Drosophila melanogaster: one gene and its partners. The protein of the gene in region 1 interacts with the protein of each later gene in a pairwise test. Each region holds a gene or a part of one and is shown in the gene's direction. Other genes may lie near its edges. The genes, in order: CG12679, CG17377, Tsp39D and CG13700.

Region 1 (3,238 bases):
AGGGTAAAAGGGAATACCCAAGAAAATTTTTGTGCTCATGTCTTTGCTCTTTGATGGACTCAATGGGTGCCTCCCATTTCAAACACATAAAGTAATTGCAATTAAAGACGGCATTTGTTGATTTTTACGTTTTTTAATGTCTCAATCTAAATAATAAAAACATAGTGGGCTTAAAAAGTATCTATTAAATATAAGGACTTAATGTTGTTGGATCAGGTAGTAAGTCATCGACGTCTACCTGTTCCCCATAGATAGCGCCGATTTGTAGGAAAAACTTCACCAAATTTTTAAATCCGGCTCCGGTTACTGCAGAAAACGGCCGACAATCTTGGACAACCCATTGGGTGCATTTTTCAATAGCTACTTTCTTGTCGTTTTCCGAAACAATTTTTAATTCCGTTGGTCGTCTTAATGTTAGACAACATTTATGGCGGGATAAATTGGAGGTGTTTTTGTGTAAAAATTTGAGCACTTTCTGGCATTGCCTGCAGAACAGCCATCCGTCCAGAACAGTTTCATCTTCCTTTAAAATGTCACATAAAATGCTCCAAATAACACTTTTTCCTTTATGTTTATTGGCAACTGAGTATGTTCCATTGTTAATTTTATTTTTAACGAAATCAGCCGCTTCTGCCATTATTGTGACCTTTTCCTTTGGCTTCCAAATAATACTGAATCCTAACAAGCTAGTAATTGCATCGTAAAAAACAAAAAAGGGGCAATTAACAGCCGAGACACTGGACCAAAGACACAAGAACTCAACAATCATTATGTATGGCGCCATTTGACTCGACTACCTACGAGACCACTCGAGTATTTTTGGAAACACCCGAGTATTTTTGGAAACACCCATGTGTTTAACGGTATACCCACAAGTGTTTTTCTCACTCATCCCTTTTTAGGCACTGTGTGAGCGGCACCCGCGACGCAAAACACCGTATTGATTCGGGTGCGCACACAACGGGGTGTCTTGTCTGCATGTTCAGATTTATACTGTGTGTTTGTAAGTACCCGCGATGTGCGTGGCGAGTAGCACCCGCACACAAAATTGTAGGGTGTGAGTCGAGTGGTAAAAAAGTGCCACCCTTGCAGTTCTCTGACTGGAAAACCATGAAAATGTCCTTGCCAGCTAAATGCCACTCTCTCTCACACACACACAACCACACACACACGTCCAATGCAGTGCGGGAAATTTCTTGGTATAAACTTAATAATGCATCGGGGCAAATAAAGGAAAAAAGCAAAAGAAACAACGGCAAGTCGGAAAGCCAACATAAGTTTTGGGGCTAACTTGTTATTTTTGTAATTGGCACTTTGCAGTTTTATTGAAGCGTTGGAGCCCCGAAAAGGGCGCTCGGGATTTTGGGGGTTACCACTCCCGTCCTTTGTGCGGATCAAAATCCAGATTGGTTATTTATATACTGCGTTCGTTCAGGTGTTGTGATCGATGTTCTGATGCTGCCTCCCTAACCACTCAGCCGGGAGTGACTCAGTGACCCTGCCGACATCCATCCCTGGTCGTAATCTGAGGTGGCCAACGTTAGCCACTTTGGCGATGAGCAGCCTTTGTCCCCTTGGCATACTGGCTGCACTGGCTTGGTTATTGGTTATATTTGGTTCAGGAACTTCGGGATTTGAAGTGGGTTTGGATTAGACAACGAATGATTGCAACGAAGGAAGGGTATGCAAGCATACTTCATAATGAGGATTGTTAGTCCTTGTAGCCATTTTAATTCTCATGTTGTATGTCGTAAAAGGTAAAAGGTATAAGTATTTGAATAAGAACGAGAACCCGATACATTTGTGTATTGCTTATGATATGGCCATTTTAAATCTCAAAACATTTATCTAGCAAAACTGAGTTGATAAATCGATTAAACAGAGTTGGCCTGGACTCGGTCTTCAATGTTCTGCCAGTGGGAGTCATTTGGATTCAGTCATTCCAGACCCCAGTCTCAAGGTAGCAACTTTCAAAATTTTTAGTTCCTGTGTTCGTAACAAATAAGTGAAATCGCATATCGTGATACCAGACTGACAGAATCGATAGAATTCTCGAAGGAACGAAGAGAAGCGCCGAAAATGCATGTGGTGGGGGCACTGGTCAATCTGCTGCTGATCTTGGCCTGCATTTACACGATGACCTCACTGACCCCGGCGGACCATCCGTATGCCTTCCTGGCGGCATCCTTCAGCCTGGTCCACGGAGTGCTGGGCGTGGTTCGCTCCTTTGCCAACGAGCCCGACGAGTGCGGACGCACCTTTATGATCTCAGCCATCATACTGGAGGTTATCCCGCTGCCACTGGCGAACATCGAGTTCTACCTGGTATCCGATCAGTCGGGAGTGGCGCTGGTGCACGGCCTGTCGTTGATTCCACTGTTCTACGACATGATCGGCAAGATCAGCGAGGACTGGGACAGCTCCACGGAGACGCTGATGGACCTCGCTCTGTTGGGCAACATCGGCTCCACGTTGTATCTGGCCATCAAGGACGGCAACCATATCTACTTCGGTGTGGCTGCCACCGCGCTCCTCGCCAGATACGGCGGTGCAATTGTCGATAGCTGCAACGAGGGCCTTAGCAACGTTGTAGAGACTCTGGGAAACACCGGCATCCTGGCCCTTATGACCTACGCACTCACTGAGGGCTAATTGCTAAAACTTAAATTTGATCGGTTCGCGAAATAAAGCCAAGATGATGAATCAGCATTTGAAATTGGTTGAGCCAACTATCATTGAATACAAGGCACTAGGGATTTGTAGTTTGGGGATATGAATTACAAATCTACAATGAGAAAGGAATAAGCAATATAGCACTACTATATAAGCCATAAACCATGTCAAGGGTATACAGACTTCGGTGTGCTGCGGCTAACTAGCCTCACTCACTCGCGCGACTTCAAATTGCCAACTTAGTTGTTATTTGTTCGCTGTCTGGCTGAAGGGGCAGCGCGAAAAAGACGCGGTTCAAGGGCCGAAGGACGACGGACGACGGACGAGGGACGAAGGACTGGGGTCTCAGGACGAGGGACTCAGGAGGGCAGAGAAGGAAAGGGACGGGGCAATATTCGTGGACGCAGCACTGTGATGGCTCTCACGTCACCACTTCAGCAAATTGCGGCAATAATGCAACAAAGGTTTCTTGGGAAACACATACCAAATTGCATAAGCAAGGCAAGGCAAGGCAAGGCCACGGAAGCGGGGTGGTGTGGCCCGCTTCCTTGGGGCGGTGCTGGTG
Region 2 (3,546 bases), on another chromosome or scaffold:
GCTAAGTGTAATGAAATATATTAAAATGTTTATTATGTAGATAAAGAGATGCTTTTAAATGCTGTTACCTTTACACTACCAATTTTGTTATAGAACTAAAATAATAATCTTTCCAACTGACTTATAATTTGGAACCGTTCTTGGCGGCCAACAGGATATTGAGGACATCGTCGGCACAGCCCCAGCACAAAGTGACTCCACTGCCGCCATGTCCATAGTTGTGGATGAGGAGCTTGCGGCCGCGGCGCTCGGCTTCCAGTCGGAGTTGGGTGCGACCCGGCCGGAGACCTACCCAATCAAAGAGGCACTCCGTGTGCTCCAAACCAGGAATGTACCGCTGACAGCCATCGACGATCATCCGCCTGTCGTTCTGGCAGACTTTAGTGTTGTAGTCCCGCTCCTGATGGGTTCCGCCCAGGACAACACTTTCGGTGCTTAAATATTTCAGATATTGGAATACGAACAAATAAGTGTAACTGGCAAATACTCACTTGGGTATAATATAGTTGCCATCATCACTCTCGTCCAGCACGGCAGAGAAAATCCAGTTGGCCCTCACCCGGGAAACTTGGCCACGCACTGCGTACATTTGATCGTCGTTTAGTAGGGTCTTAGAGCCCAATCCGGAGCAATTGACTATCACATCGTACTCGGAATCGGCTACAAATGCATCCAGGTCTGTAATCCTTTTCCGGACAACAACACCTCCATTTCGGGTGAAACGCTTCATCAAATACGGCAGTAGCTTAATGGGCTCCGAGGTGTAGGTAACAAAGGATAAACCAGACCTAGATATGGTTTAGATATGTTCATATTTCAGCAAGTATAAATCTATGGATATCTATGAATATTCTTACGTGAACTTAACGCTGCGACCTTTATTGTAGGCAGCCAGCTGTTCCTTGGACAGATCCACTGCTCCATAGACAATGTCACGCCAAAAATCTTCGACCGTGTCCACCGTTGAGGTGCTCAGCCGAATGCAGGGTAGCAGACAAACGCCAGCCTCTCCGGCATCCTCGCTCAGCCAGATCTTCTCCAAAAATTGGTGCATGCTCTTCGACCACTTGCTGATGGAAAAAAAGTTATAAGTAAGAATATAATATAGTGACTAGTAAAACTTACTAGACTTTCGCCTGCGAAGTGCCGCCCAGAAGGTACGGACCCCAGAGACCAGCCGAACCATCTCCAGTTGTGTTAGGCGTGAAGTCCTCCGATATGATCGTCACCTTTATGGGTGTCTTTCCATCGTTCACATAGTGTTCCAGTATCTTAATGGCACTGGCAACACCATTAACCCCGGCACCGATAACTGCAATGTTAGGCATTGCTCCAATCCGATCAGCTTGGGAACTTGGAATGAACTGAAAAGAGGATCGCTTATCAGAATTGTAAGCAAATCGCATAATACAATTAGCTGATAACAGAGCTTTTAAAAAGAGCGAAAAAGCTTTTTGCATTTTGAATCTAATATTAACTCTTTCTTAAAATCTAGTAGGCTATAATTCCAACAAGTTGGCCTTGCATTTCATCTCAAACGGAACCGAATATGTGTGTTGGGATGTGTTGATCATTCCTCATTCGATACCAAACTCTCGGACCTTTCGTTTCGGCCAGCTTCTAAATTTTCCAAATTCCAAATTTTTCTTCCAAATTAATTTGACCAAATAGAGTAAGTTTATCCCGGGAAGACCATAGTATATTTTTAAATCCTTTGTCCTGTAGCGCTCGACGGGCTCAAGATGTGTGACGGATGTGGATCGTTGGAGGTGAGTAACCATATGCAACACACCACTGACCACTTGTGACCACTATGTATGCATCCTTTCCAGCCGCGCGGATGCCGCAGTCGGGAGTTACGATGCGGCATCATGTACACCACTTGCGACTGCGTGAAGCGGAACGGTCTGCAGGACAAGTGCCCGCGGTCCGCCTGCCAGGGCCGACCGGCCTGCCTGTGCTTCCCCTTCCCCACCTGCGGTCCGGCGGCATTCCCGCTGCGCTACGCTAACATGATGATGGGCGTGAACAATAAGCGTATGCGCTGTGCCGCCACTGGAGCACCAAATGGCGGTGCCGGATGCGGTGGACGCGTTGCCGGCGGCTGCTGTGGATGCGGTCCCTGCTGCTGTAATGTATCGCCCTGCTGTGGCCCGCACAGTCCTCCATGCTGTGGCTCGCACAGTCTTCCATGCTGTGGCCCGCACAGTCCTCCATGCGGAGCTCCGTCGCCCATTCCTTGCTCCTCTGCTCCGGGCATGTGCTGCCCTCCGCTGCCTGAAGGCGGCATTCCCGATCCGCGTGTCTGGAACTACTATAACGCACCTGTGACGTACCCATGTAAGTCCGGTCCAGGTCCGTCCACCTGTCCGCCTGTCTGTCCGTCTGCTTGTCCATCTGTCACGGCGCTGGGCGTCCGTAGAACGTAAAAACCATGGAGCGGAGGAGCACGAGGCATGCCCAAGGACTTTGCAGGTCACAGCATCTGGAACATGTGCTTGTGGTGACGCTTCATGTCCTTTTGCAGGAGCTTTATGCCCACTACGCTGATCCGTCAACAATGATAGCATGTCCTGGGCTTTGTGAGCGTAGAGGTAGGATCCATGGACCAAATGCTGTTGCCAGGCCCCAAATCCTTCATGACCCTTTGACCTCCATCCGCATCCTGTCGCGTGTAAGTAACTGCGATACCTTCTGCATTCACTGGTTTTACCTTTCTCATCCCACAGGTGGCTTATAAGTATTTCCTGGCAAGTGTTTCGATCGGATCCTGATATGGGCCACTTCCTTGGCGGGACATGTTGTCGTTTTGTGACGTAGTTTTGGTTGATAAAAAATTGAAGTTGGCTTAAATCAAGATTTAGCCAGCTGCGGAATACCCATTACTAGAAGGGCTCGAAGCTATTTGGGAACCCATGTGCAATTCGTCAGACGGTCTTGATTTAAACACAAAATCATATGTTGGTATCTGGAATCTATTTGGCATTAAATTACAAATAAACAAATTGAAATTATATTCTGTGTATTATGGGGGGTGTTAAAGGTTGCGTTTATTTTATGGCTGCACTTATGCTTCGAATATTTATATTTTAAGCCTGGCATTAGAATTGTAAATTAAGGTTGAAACCTTATGCCAAGGCCATAAAAATTTACGTTCATATGTCCCACAGATATTCTGATATTTATATTAATTAATATCAATTTTATTAGGGTGGGTTTCCGTGGCATTTAAGATTTAATTAATTAAAAGTTGAACTTTGCTGATAGTACTTTGTTTTAAACCCATTTTTTCGAGCTGGGAGAGCCATGTTCCAATCTTAGTGAGTTAGTTGACCTAAACAATTCGCGGGTCAAATATTTTGTTTTAGTGAATAAGGCAAATATAGATATATAATTATGTAGATCTGTGGCGATTTCATAATCTTTGCTAAGTCGAAGTAGGCCATGAAATTTCATAAAGTTGGCCATGACTTTTAAGCCAACCCGAACCGAAACTTGAACTGGATGTGCTGGGCCAAGGGAACAGCTAACCTCATTCGATATCTG
Region 3 (4,872 bases), on another chromosome or scaffold:
TAAATTATATGAGAAGCCTATTTTGAAGAGCATTTGCTTAGTACAAGTGAAGAAAAGTATATGAATATTTAAATAAGTAATGATAAAAATAACAAATTCATAATTATATGGAATCTGTAATATGTATACATAATATAATAATATAATATGTATACATTCTCACGTTTAAAGCAAAGATTATTTAATAAAGTAAAGAATAAACCGGAACTCCAACACTTTTGAAAAATTCTGTGATAATTCTTCATATTTTTATTAGTCTTGTAAATTACTATGGATTTGCCAAAAAACTTTTTGCCTCGCCTACTTCAACGTCCAAAGACCGCCCAAAACTGCCACACCTACACTTTTAAAATATTTTTAGAATTTTCCGTTTTATTATTTGTCTTGCCAAGTTTTATCGGTATACAAAACAATGTGGCCACGACCCTTCTTTCACCTACAAAACGAACAAAACTGTCACGCCAATAATTTTTAAATTTTTTCTCATTTTATTCACCAAAATCAATCGATATCCTGGAAAAATTATAAAATTTGGCGATCGAATTTCCACTAGCCGAGTAAAGGGTATCTGATGAGCGGGAAATCGAGTATAACATTTTCTCTTGTTTACATATATCCTTTTACACTTTTACCACTTTTCATCCCCAAGCATCAAATTTTTCAAAGTCCTGGTATGAATACAGAAAAAATCCTATGATATACTCTTTTAATGGGCAAAATGTATTTATAATATCATTAGGTTTTTAATTTAAAACCATTCAACAATGGTTCACTTCTATTTTACCCATTACTCGTAGAGTAAATGGGTATACAATATTGGTTGAAAAGTATGTAACAGGCAGAAGGAAGCGTTTCCGACTATATAATTTATATATATTCTTGATCAAGATCAAAAGCCGAGTTGATCTAGCCATGTCCGTGTTGCCACGCCCACAAGAATCACAAAATTTCCAAGCCCACGTGTAACGTGTAACGTGTAATATAACATAAACCGATTCCACCTTATTCTTGCCAAGAAGGTTGGTTTAAGGGCTAAATCAAAAGCAAAAGGAGAGCTAAAACACGGTGGAAATTTTTTAAAGCGTTGTTGAGTAGAGAACGTGCTAAGTTATATATATTTCATAAACCACCGCGAAAGCGAAGAGGATTTATCTAATGGGAGGAAGGTATATATATCATGTAAATGTTCCTGATTCTCTTTTCTTGATCGGAATCTCCAGACGACTCTATATGCCTATGTCCGACTGCATTCGTTTTCTTGGCATTTCATTTGATGTCATCAGGGACTTATGTATATGCAAAAATTGAATACAATCCTGTTTTAATTTTCACTACAAACATAGTTTTATGACAGTAATCGAATCTCCTTTTAGCTAAACTTAACATTGCTTCTTTTATAATCAATCTGGGTTATACAATTTTTATCTACGATTCGAATCCAGTCTACTTTAGTAAAAAATTATGGCAACTCCCGACTTCTGTATACTGCAGTATGGCAGCTCCCGAACTGTGTAGATGTTGGTATGGCAACTCAAAATCACCTGCAATTGCTACTGAACATTCATATTAAACATAATTACGAAAAGACCAACATTAAAATAGCGTTTGTATTCGGCAATACAAGATTTATTGCTGAGAGGGGAAAAAGCGGTTCTAGCATCAACACGTAATAAAAAGAAAATTAACCAAAATTGATTTTCTTGAAATAATGTTTCCAGCACCGGGATAAGATAACAAATAGTGGAGTCATTCAGCAATCGTTGATTGGCGTGAGGTATCGATGACCATGCGCTATCGATACCTCCGTTGGAATTATCACATCGTAGCTCTACTGTTTGTCAAGTCTCACTTGAAAACATCCATCGAAAGTGCTGTTGTTCTGATTAGAGCGCGGGTGCGAGTTAATCAAGCGAACCGTTGCGTCCTGGTCCTAAATTTGAAAGGTATAAATATTTGGGTGAAACCAATCAGCTGCAATAGATGATGCGGTCCCTTGCGCCATACAAATTGGTATTAGTATTGCCCTAGAGGAGTAATTGTGTGTATGTATGTTGGTGGGAGAGTGGAAAGTGGTTTAAGTGAGGGATGCGACCGAACAATATGCACTTCTCCCTGTGCTACCTGAGATCTAGAGTGTGGAGAGTGATTCTGTTGACTAGTTTGCGTGCTTGCGGCAAGCAGGAGCTGCGGTCCGGTGTGATACATGCCTCGCGAAGTTGCTCCAAGTCGTAGTGGATGGTGCTCCAGGTGCTGGGATGCGCCTAATTGGAGATACACAAACGGTCAGTCAAAAGCTCGTGAAGTGTGGGTAATGCCTATATATATCCGCCACCCGCCTACAAGCGGGTTCCGGAAGTAGGCGACGGCACGCAACCATCAACCAGAAGCATCATTATGCACACATGCAGCTGGACATGGGGAAATCCTCTCAATAAAGCCGCTAGGCGGACATTGATTCATATGTTAATACACGTGTATGAATATGACAATTGGTGAGAGCGGGAACCACCAGTTACGCACAGTGGCCAGATCGCACTAGCGCACTATTCGTCAAGGAGTCAGGATTTGGTTGTCGTCTCAAATAAATAGCTAACTTTGTTAGAGATAAATGGTTAGGTTTAATCAAACTAATCGTTTAATTTCAAGGTAACATAAACTCATATTTTGCTTAAACTAAAAACGGTTTAATATAAATAAGTCTGACAGGACCGTAAAACTGCTCTCCAAATTCGGTCGTCTGGTACCTGGGCGCAAATCAATTAAGGAACTATTAACTCAGCAATGGGAACACTACCAAACACTGTACAATGTAGTAGCAATATTAAATATAATAATATAATAATAAACATGGATGCTTGCTTCTGCAAGCTAAAGTATTTAAAAAGTATTAGAAATGGTCGGTAATCGTAGAGTAAGAATTCACTTAAAAGGATGTTACAGGTAGAAGAACGCTTTTTCCACCTTATAAAGTATTTCTGTATGTATTAACACTTAACACATACGTATATCCAAACTGGTTTATTACGCAGTACTAAGAAATATACGGCTGACGTGTGTATTTTACCCTACATTGTCATCCGTGTGGCAGGTGTAGCCACTTTTTACGCAGCTGACACTATTTCTAAGCTATCGATTTTGTCTTCTATTCCTTTCCCATTGCTTTGAATGCCGATACTTGGCCTATTGCTGGTGGTGGGGTGGCACTAATAATTTAAAAACCGACCTATTTCAGTGCAGAGTTCAAACTCATTCAAACTACACAACTATTACAGCAAGCGCAATATACATACATATGTATGTATGTACATATGTATTCCTGTCCTTCCTAGTTTTCGTTCTCCATGTCCGTCCGTATGAAGGTGGAGATCTGAGGAACTATAAAACCTACAATATTGAGATTAAGCATATAGATTTCAGAGGCATAGTTTGTTTACTCATGTTGCTACGCCCACAAACCCTGCCAAAGCTGCCACGCCCACACCATTGGAAAATGTGTTGATATTTATATATCCGTTACTCGTAGAGTCAAAGGTTATGATCAGGATCAATAGCCGAGTCTATATGTCCCTGTCTGTCTGCTCGAATGTCTATGCGTCCATATGAACGCCGAGATCTCAAAAACTATAAAAGCTAGAAGGTTGAGATTAAGCATAAAGATTCTAGAGACATAGGCGCAGTGCAAGTTTATTTCAAATCACCCAAAACCGGTACGCCCACTGTTTGTTTTGATATATTTTCCTATTTTTATACCCGTTACTCAGATTAAAAGGTGATACTAGATTCGTTGAAAAGTGTTTCCGACCAAATCAAGTATATATATCCTTGATCAGGATCCATAGCCGAGTCAATCTGGACATGAAAGTCGAGACCTCAGGAACTATAAAAGCTAAAAGGCATACAGATTCTAGAAACATAGACGGAGCGCAAGTTTGACCCATGTTGCCACACTCACTCTAACGCCACGCCTACACTTTTGAAAAATGTGTTGATATTTGTTCACATATGTATTAGTCTTGTAAATTTTATCGATTTTGCCAAAAACGTTTTTGCCACGCCCACTCAAACCGCACAACCGGTCACGCCCACACTTTTGAACAATTTTTAAATTTTTTTTCATTTTATTTCCCAATATCTCTTGATATCCCAAAATAAATGATACTTTCGCGTTCTCATTCACACTAGCTGAGTAACGGGTATCTGATAGTCGGGGAACTCGACTATTCTCGCATTCTCTCTTGTTAGTTTTGTAAATTTCTGTCGATTTGATAAAAAACTTTTTGCAATGCCCACTCTAACGCACAAAACCCGCCGAATCCTGTCGCGAACCCACTTTTGGAAAATATTTCGATCTTTTTTCATATTTTTAATAGTCTTTTCTTTCCAAATTCTATCGATATGCCAACAAGGATGTTAAATGCTTAAGCTGAGTAACGGGTATCTGATATTCGAGGAACTCGTTCATTCTTGCTTTTTAAATTCATTTAACAGTTTTTTAATGCAAAATTTGTTTAAATTAATGTATTTTGTATATACTCGTAATAGTTGACATTGTAAAGGTTCGGTAAAGTTGTACATTGAAATAACTCCGGAAAAAAGTTTTTAAAACTTCTTCAATACAGGAAATCCATATCGTTAGCCGGGAATAGCTTACACATACAGAATAACATACAGGAATAATGAAAAGACCGGTGTGTTTGAATCTTGTTCTATGATTATCACTTTAACAGAGTACGGATAAAAATGAATACTAAACGTATACGAGCTTAAATAGCGTTAGGCAGTTGGTTTATTTTTCTTCGCGTCTTATAGCATGTAGTATGTGCATATATCGAGGGTACACTGTACCTATAAGTACACAGCAACACTTAGTTG
Region 4 (4,726 bases), on another chromosome or scaffold:
AGCAATTTTGATACGAATAATCAAGAATAACAAAATTTGAAATGTATCTTATCATTATTATTGATTTTAGCAAAATTCAAAACATATTATTTTAATTTTGGCATTGCAAATTAAACAAGAAATATTGAAATTAATCACATGTAAAGATAGCATTTGTAAGAAATTAAAATTTTTATAAGACAAACAAGCAAAAAATAAATACAATTTTATAAAAAATTAAAAAATACTTTGAACGATTATTATTGTCCCTTTTCAGAAAAACATAAAGAATTTTACCAACACCATTGCCGAGATATATATATTTAATTACCTTTTATTTCGGAGGTGTAGAACTCTATTAAAATGTTTTTGAAAAATTATTCGAAGCGTTTTTAAAATATTTTAAAAATAAACTAAAACGTTTTTAAAATAAATTCAAAAGAATATTTATTTGTTTCACCAAAGTTTTTATAAAAAAATACGTCAAAATAATATGAAATTTTGTTTAATACACTCTTTTAATAACCGCTTATGAATTAAGCCTTTGTATTCCATTTTGGGCAATGAAATGGCAAAGGATAACCGTCCTGCCAGGAAAAGGCGGAGTAAGCAAACATTTAGCGATCGCTATCGTCAAAACCAATATGTCACCTTAAAAGGGAAAACACATTTTTGGTTAAGGGCAGACAGAGAATTTTCCCGTCGTGTCATGCCAGGCACACTCCACCCAAAAGGGTTAAAAAGCAAAGGTGACGCTTAACCGCAGATCCCAGTTTGTGCCACCAATGTCCAAGTCATCGGGCTCGGGGTCAAAGGGAAAAAGAGGAAAAGGGCAAAGGGGGTGTACCCTTTAGCAAGCCCGGAAACCCATTTAACCCCAGAAGTGGAAAAAGTGTAACATCTGTGGCAGCAAGCGATCAGCGGCGCCTGATAAGTTCGCCAGTCAAATAATAATTATGCAAACATTTCGGGCCGCTAATTTGCCGCCTATCTTAATTTAAATCGCTCAAAAGCGCACTGGAACCAGCGCACAAGAAATTGTTTAATTGTCGTGACATGACAATAAGCGACCTGGAAATTAGGGTCCTTCGCTATCCTTTTTTTTCGCGTGTGGCTTGATTTTTGGCGATGATAAGCAAGGGGGAAATTATAGGGTATGCAAATGCTCGCATAGTGTCAGTCGCGTGTCCTGGATCAAGTTTTCATTCGGGTTCGTTTTCCACTCAAATTCCTTCTTAGCGCCTGCAATTATGCTCGGCGGAGAGACAGTTTATGATAACATATTTGTAGTTAATTTAGTTAAATTAGTGCCACATATGTTAAACTGATCTGAGATAGCCAGGTGGGAGCTGCAAATGGGTGAAAATTCCATCGAGTCACAGGTTGCTGGCAAACTGCTTTCGATTGGGTCCACACTCAAATATTTCAATAGTTAAAACCACGGGTAATAGACATTTAAAAAGAAAAAAGAAAGCAATATAAAAGCAAATAAGTGTAATCTAGTTAACTTAAATACATATAGTCAAGTCATCTAAATATGCTGTTTCCCTTTTGTATTGCAGACTGGATAGATAGAGCTTCAAAAAATTGTTCGGTGTTCTTTTTTAATTAAACCTTAAAACGTTTATTTCAGTTGATTTTGAGAAAGTTGTTCTATAAAAGCATAAACAAAGTATTCAATGAGAAGAGTGTAAATAAACTTTAAGAAATTATTATTATTCCTTAAGGGAAGCAAAATTCCAAAGCATTTACTTAGGCATGAGCTAGATACCTTAGTGGTGTCATACCGCAAAGCTCGACCAGGATATCCATCTTATAATCATAATGAACACTTCGGATAAGAATGACAATGATAATGATTCCTTGGGCGACGAGCAGGATCAGGAAGTCCGCCAAATACTAGATTCAATCGAAAGCTTCGATGACGTCTGCAAAACTTTCAAGTCGAAAAGTGTTCAAGAATTAAACGCTCAAAAGACAAGTGAAGTTCCCAAATCTGACCAGGAAAAGGTTCACACGTCATCGTCGAAATACAATTCTACTCCCCAGACAGAAAAACTTACTTCTGAGGCAGATCCAGATAGCGAATACACACGTTTTCTGAAGCAAATGAGCGTTCGTTAGTAAGTTAAGTTATTTTAACAATAATTTTAATTTAATTTTCTTACTCATATGCATCTTAGCTCAGAGTTTCGCATTGCCTCGGGTCAAGTAGTTCAACAAAAGGGTCAGACAATGGACTACCGAGACTATAACTATAGCGAATGTAAATATTGAGTTTCTAATTTCTAAAATATTTTTGGAAATTTATTGATCTTTTTATTTCCTGCTATTGTAGATCCAGTATGTCAACCTTCTTGTAGCTGGCAATCCTTTAACCCAATGACTCAGGACTCGACATCTGGACAAAGAGAGATGGAATCGTCATCATCTAGTTCGCCCGGGCAGATGTGCCAAAATCAATACGGCTATGGTCAATCTCTTCCGGAAGCCGGATCAAGATCGGACGAGACCATTGTCAACGATCCCAGTACTACCAGTTCAGCTCCATGTGAGAGTGAGAGTCCTTGCTGCTCCAAAGAGACTTGTGGCTGTTGCTGTGATATCGCTTCTAGTCAGCAATCTGGATGCTCCCAATGGGATCAGACTTATCCTGGCCAGCAACAGCACATTTTTCCTGTTCCAATGGGTGTGGATCCGAGTACCGGGTTTCCCATCTACTGCTACTCTACCCCACTAAATTATCAAGGCAATGCTATGTACTCAATGCCAGGCATGCAAATGGATGAAAGTCAAAGGGGAGGCGGTGGCCAGAACAACCGGGAAACTGGTACGAAATGTCAAACTTCATCAGAATCTTCAGAGGAAAATTGTCATTCAAATGGGGATAGTGCTTCATTTCATCAAAGTCCTAACAATTTGGACATGGAGGCCTTTATGCAAAAGTACCAGAAGAGTGTTCAGCAATGCTATGCCACTGCACAACAAGGTAAGCATGATAAATAAGCAACCGTGGATGCAATGTAATATGCCGAATTTTAGGAATTCAACAATCATTTGCTAATGCTCAGAGTCAGCCGTATTTCAATAACTTTGCGCAGGGAACTCAACAGTTTTATAACAATGGTACTGAGGGTAAACATGAATTCGTAATCCTAAAACAATTTGACCACATTTTCATCATTTAAGCAGGTACGCGTTCAATGTTTGCCGGATGCAATCAAGGTAAGTTTTAGCACTCAGTAATTAACTCTTCATCTTATTTTAATAATATCCAACTGTTTTAAAATATATTAATTATTTTAAGCCATTCAAATAGGTATGCATGAAATGTTAGGCAGCCCCAATCAAGGTATGCTTAATTAAATTATTCACTTTCATAAATGTCCTAATGACATTCTATCGTTTTAACTATTGAATTATTTCCGAAAACCAACATCTCTCAGATTGTCAAGGCATGCAACAGGCTTTCAGTTCTTCTTTCGGTGCTCAACAATATTGTAGCAATGATGGTCTAGGTACTTACTTAGCATACCAAATTTTCAAATGGTTACCGATTTTCGTTTAGGTGCTCAACAAATCTTTTCCTCATTGATGGGAATGCCTTCCCCTAACTGGTTTGCCAGTAACACTGGATTTATGAGCGACTCTCTGCAGAACCACACAGTATACTCCTCAGACTACAAACCCTTTTCCAACGATGGCAACCACTTTAACCACTTCCCCAATGGGGGCATGGACATGGGCTTGGCCACCGAACCCTGTAACATCTACGGTCCAGCTGGATCCCCTGGCCTGGTTGAGATGGGCAACGGTGGTCAGGTCTATGGCATGGGTGGTGCCTGCGACATGAATATGAGCGCTTACCCTCTCAGTCAAATGAGGTAAGAAATATTCAAAATACTAAACCATGCAATATAACTATTTGTTTTTACCTGCGTCAGTTATTCAAGTCCCTATTCCTACGATATGCCTTGTTCCACACTTAACTATAATCCAGCATCAGGTATTCCTATGGCTACTCCTCAAATGCAAGCTAGTCATATAAGTAGTGGAAATCCAGGTTTGTAACGAATAATTGTTGTATGTTTTTACAATATTCGCGATCAACAGTGCAACAGGGCTGAATCGGAAGGAACCCCGAGAGTGAGATGGTGGAATTGATACAATAATTATATATATTATATTATAATACTCTTAAACAATAAAGGCAACCAAAAAAAGAAATATAACAACTTCCTTTTCAATTTATAATCTTAGAAAACAATGTTGAGTTAATAAAAGTTAATAAAACTTAAAATAAGTTCAAGAACAAGGTATTGATCATTACTTAAAACGTTTCATTACTATGACTGCTGAAGATGAAGACTTTGTCGAGCAAGTTTCTCAATAGAACTTTTTTGCAGTCCAGCAATGGTAATGACTCACAGTAGGAATGTTCCACCTTCCCAGATCCTGAACTTCGCATGGCATGCACTTTAAGTCAAAGCTAATTACAGTGAGCTGGTCTATTGATTTTAGCAGTAAAGTACACTAACCCGTGAGGGAACCCTCGCATTGGACAAACAAACGGGCGACATCAGTGACCCAGTTTCGTGCAAAAACCAAGTCGGAAATGTGGCAAGCTGAAAAAGGGCCAGGCAAACAACGCCCCCAAATGCGAAAGGCCTGTATGTGGAGCGAAAGTGAAACGCAATATGGCCACAAACGACCACATTCGTTTAAGAGGGGATAGGAGTATCTGTGA

What was found.
Region 2: the proteins of CG12679 (region 1) and CG17377 interact in a two-hybrid assay, tested with the Drosophila melanogaster proteins (one large-scale study listed by BioGRID).
Region 3: the proteins of CG12679 (region 1) and Tsp39D interact in a two-hybrid assay, tested with the Drosophila melanogaster proteins (one large-scale study listed by BioGRID).
Region 4: the proteins of CG12679 (region 1) and CG13700 interact in a two-hybrid assay, tested with the Drosophila melanogaster proteins (one large-scale study listed by BioGRID).

The regions. Positions count from the first base shown.
Region 1 is NC_004354.4:20,375,234-20,378,471, reverse strand, and holds CG12679 (uncharacterized protein), read left to right. Parts: upstream 1-1,949; 5' UTR 1,950-2,079; coding exon 2,080-2,652; 3' UTR 2,653-2,708; downstream 2,709-3,238.
Region 2 is NT_033779.5:6,800,834-6,804,379, reverse strand, and holds CG17377 (uncharacterized protein), read left to right. Parts: upstream 1-1,590; 5' UTR 1,591-1,672; intron 1,673-1,725; 5' UTR 1,726-1,742; coding exon 1,743-1,769; intron 1,770-1,832; coding exon 1,833-2,429; 3' UTR 2,430-2,527; coding exon of another isoform or gene 2,528-2,529; 3' UTR 2,530-2,672; exon of another isoform or gene 2,673-2,674; intron 2,675-2,729; coding exon of another isoform or gene 2,730-2,740; 3' UTR 2,741-3,002; downstream 3,003-3,546. Other genes in the region: Daao2 (D-amino acid oxidase 2), read right to left, coding at 122-434, 492-788, 858-1,070, 1,126-1,328.
Region 3 is NT_033779.5:21,342,794-21,347,665, forward strand, and holds the start of Tsp39D (tetraspanin 39D), read left to right. Parts: upstream 1-1,813; 5' UTR 1,814-1,943; intron 1,944-4,872.
Region 4 is NT_037436.4:18,298,211-18,302,936, reverse strand, and holds CG13700 (uncharacterized protein), read left to right. Parts: upstream 1-1,676; 5' UTR 1,677-1,803; coding exon 1,804-2,102; intron 2,103-2,162; coding exon 2,163-2,245; intron 2,246-2,317; coding exon 2,318-2,968; intron 2,969-3,021; coding exon 3,022-3,114; intron 3,115-3,168; coding exon 3,169-3,204; intron 3,205-3,286; coding exon 3,287-3,331; intron 3,332-3,425; coding exon 3,426-3,497; intron 3,498-3,547; coding exon 3,548-3,863; intron 3,864-3,923; coding exon 3,924-4,042; intron 4,043-4,092; coding exon 4,093-4,106; 3' UTR 4,107-4,195; downstream 4,196-4,726.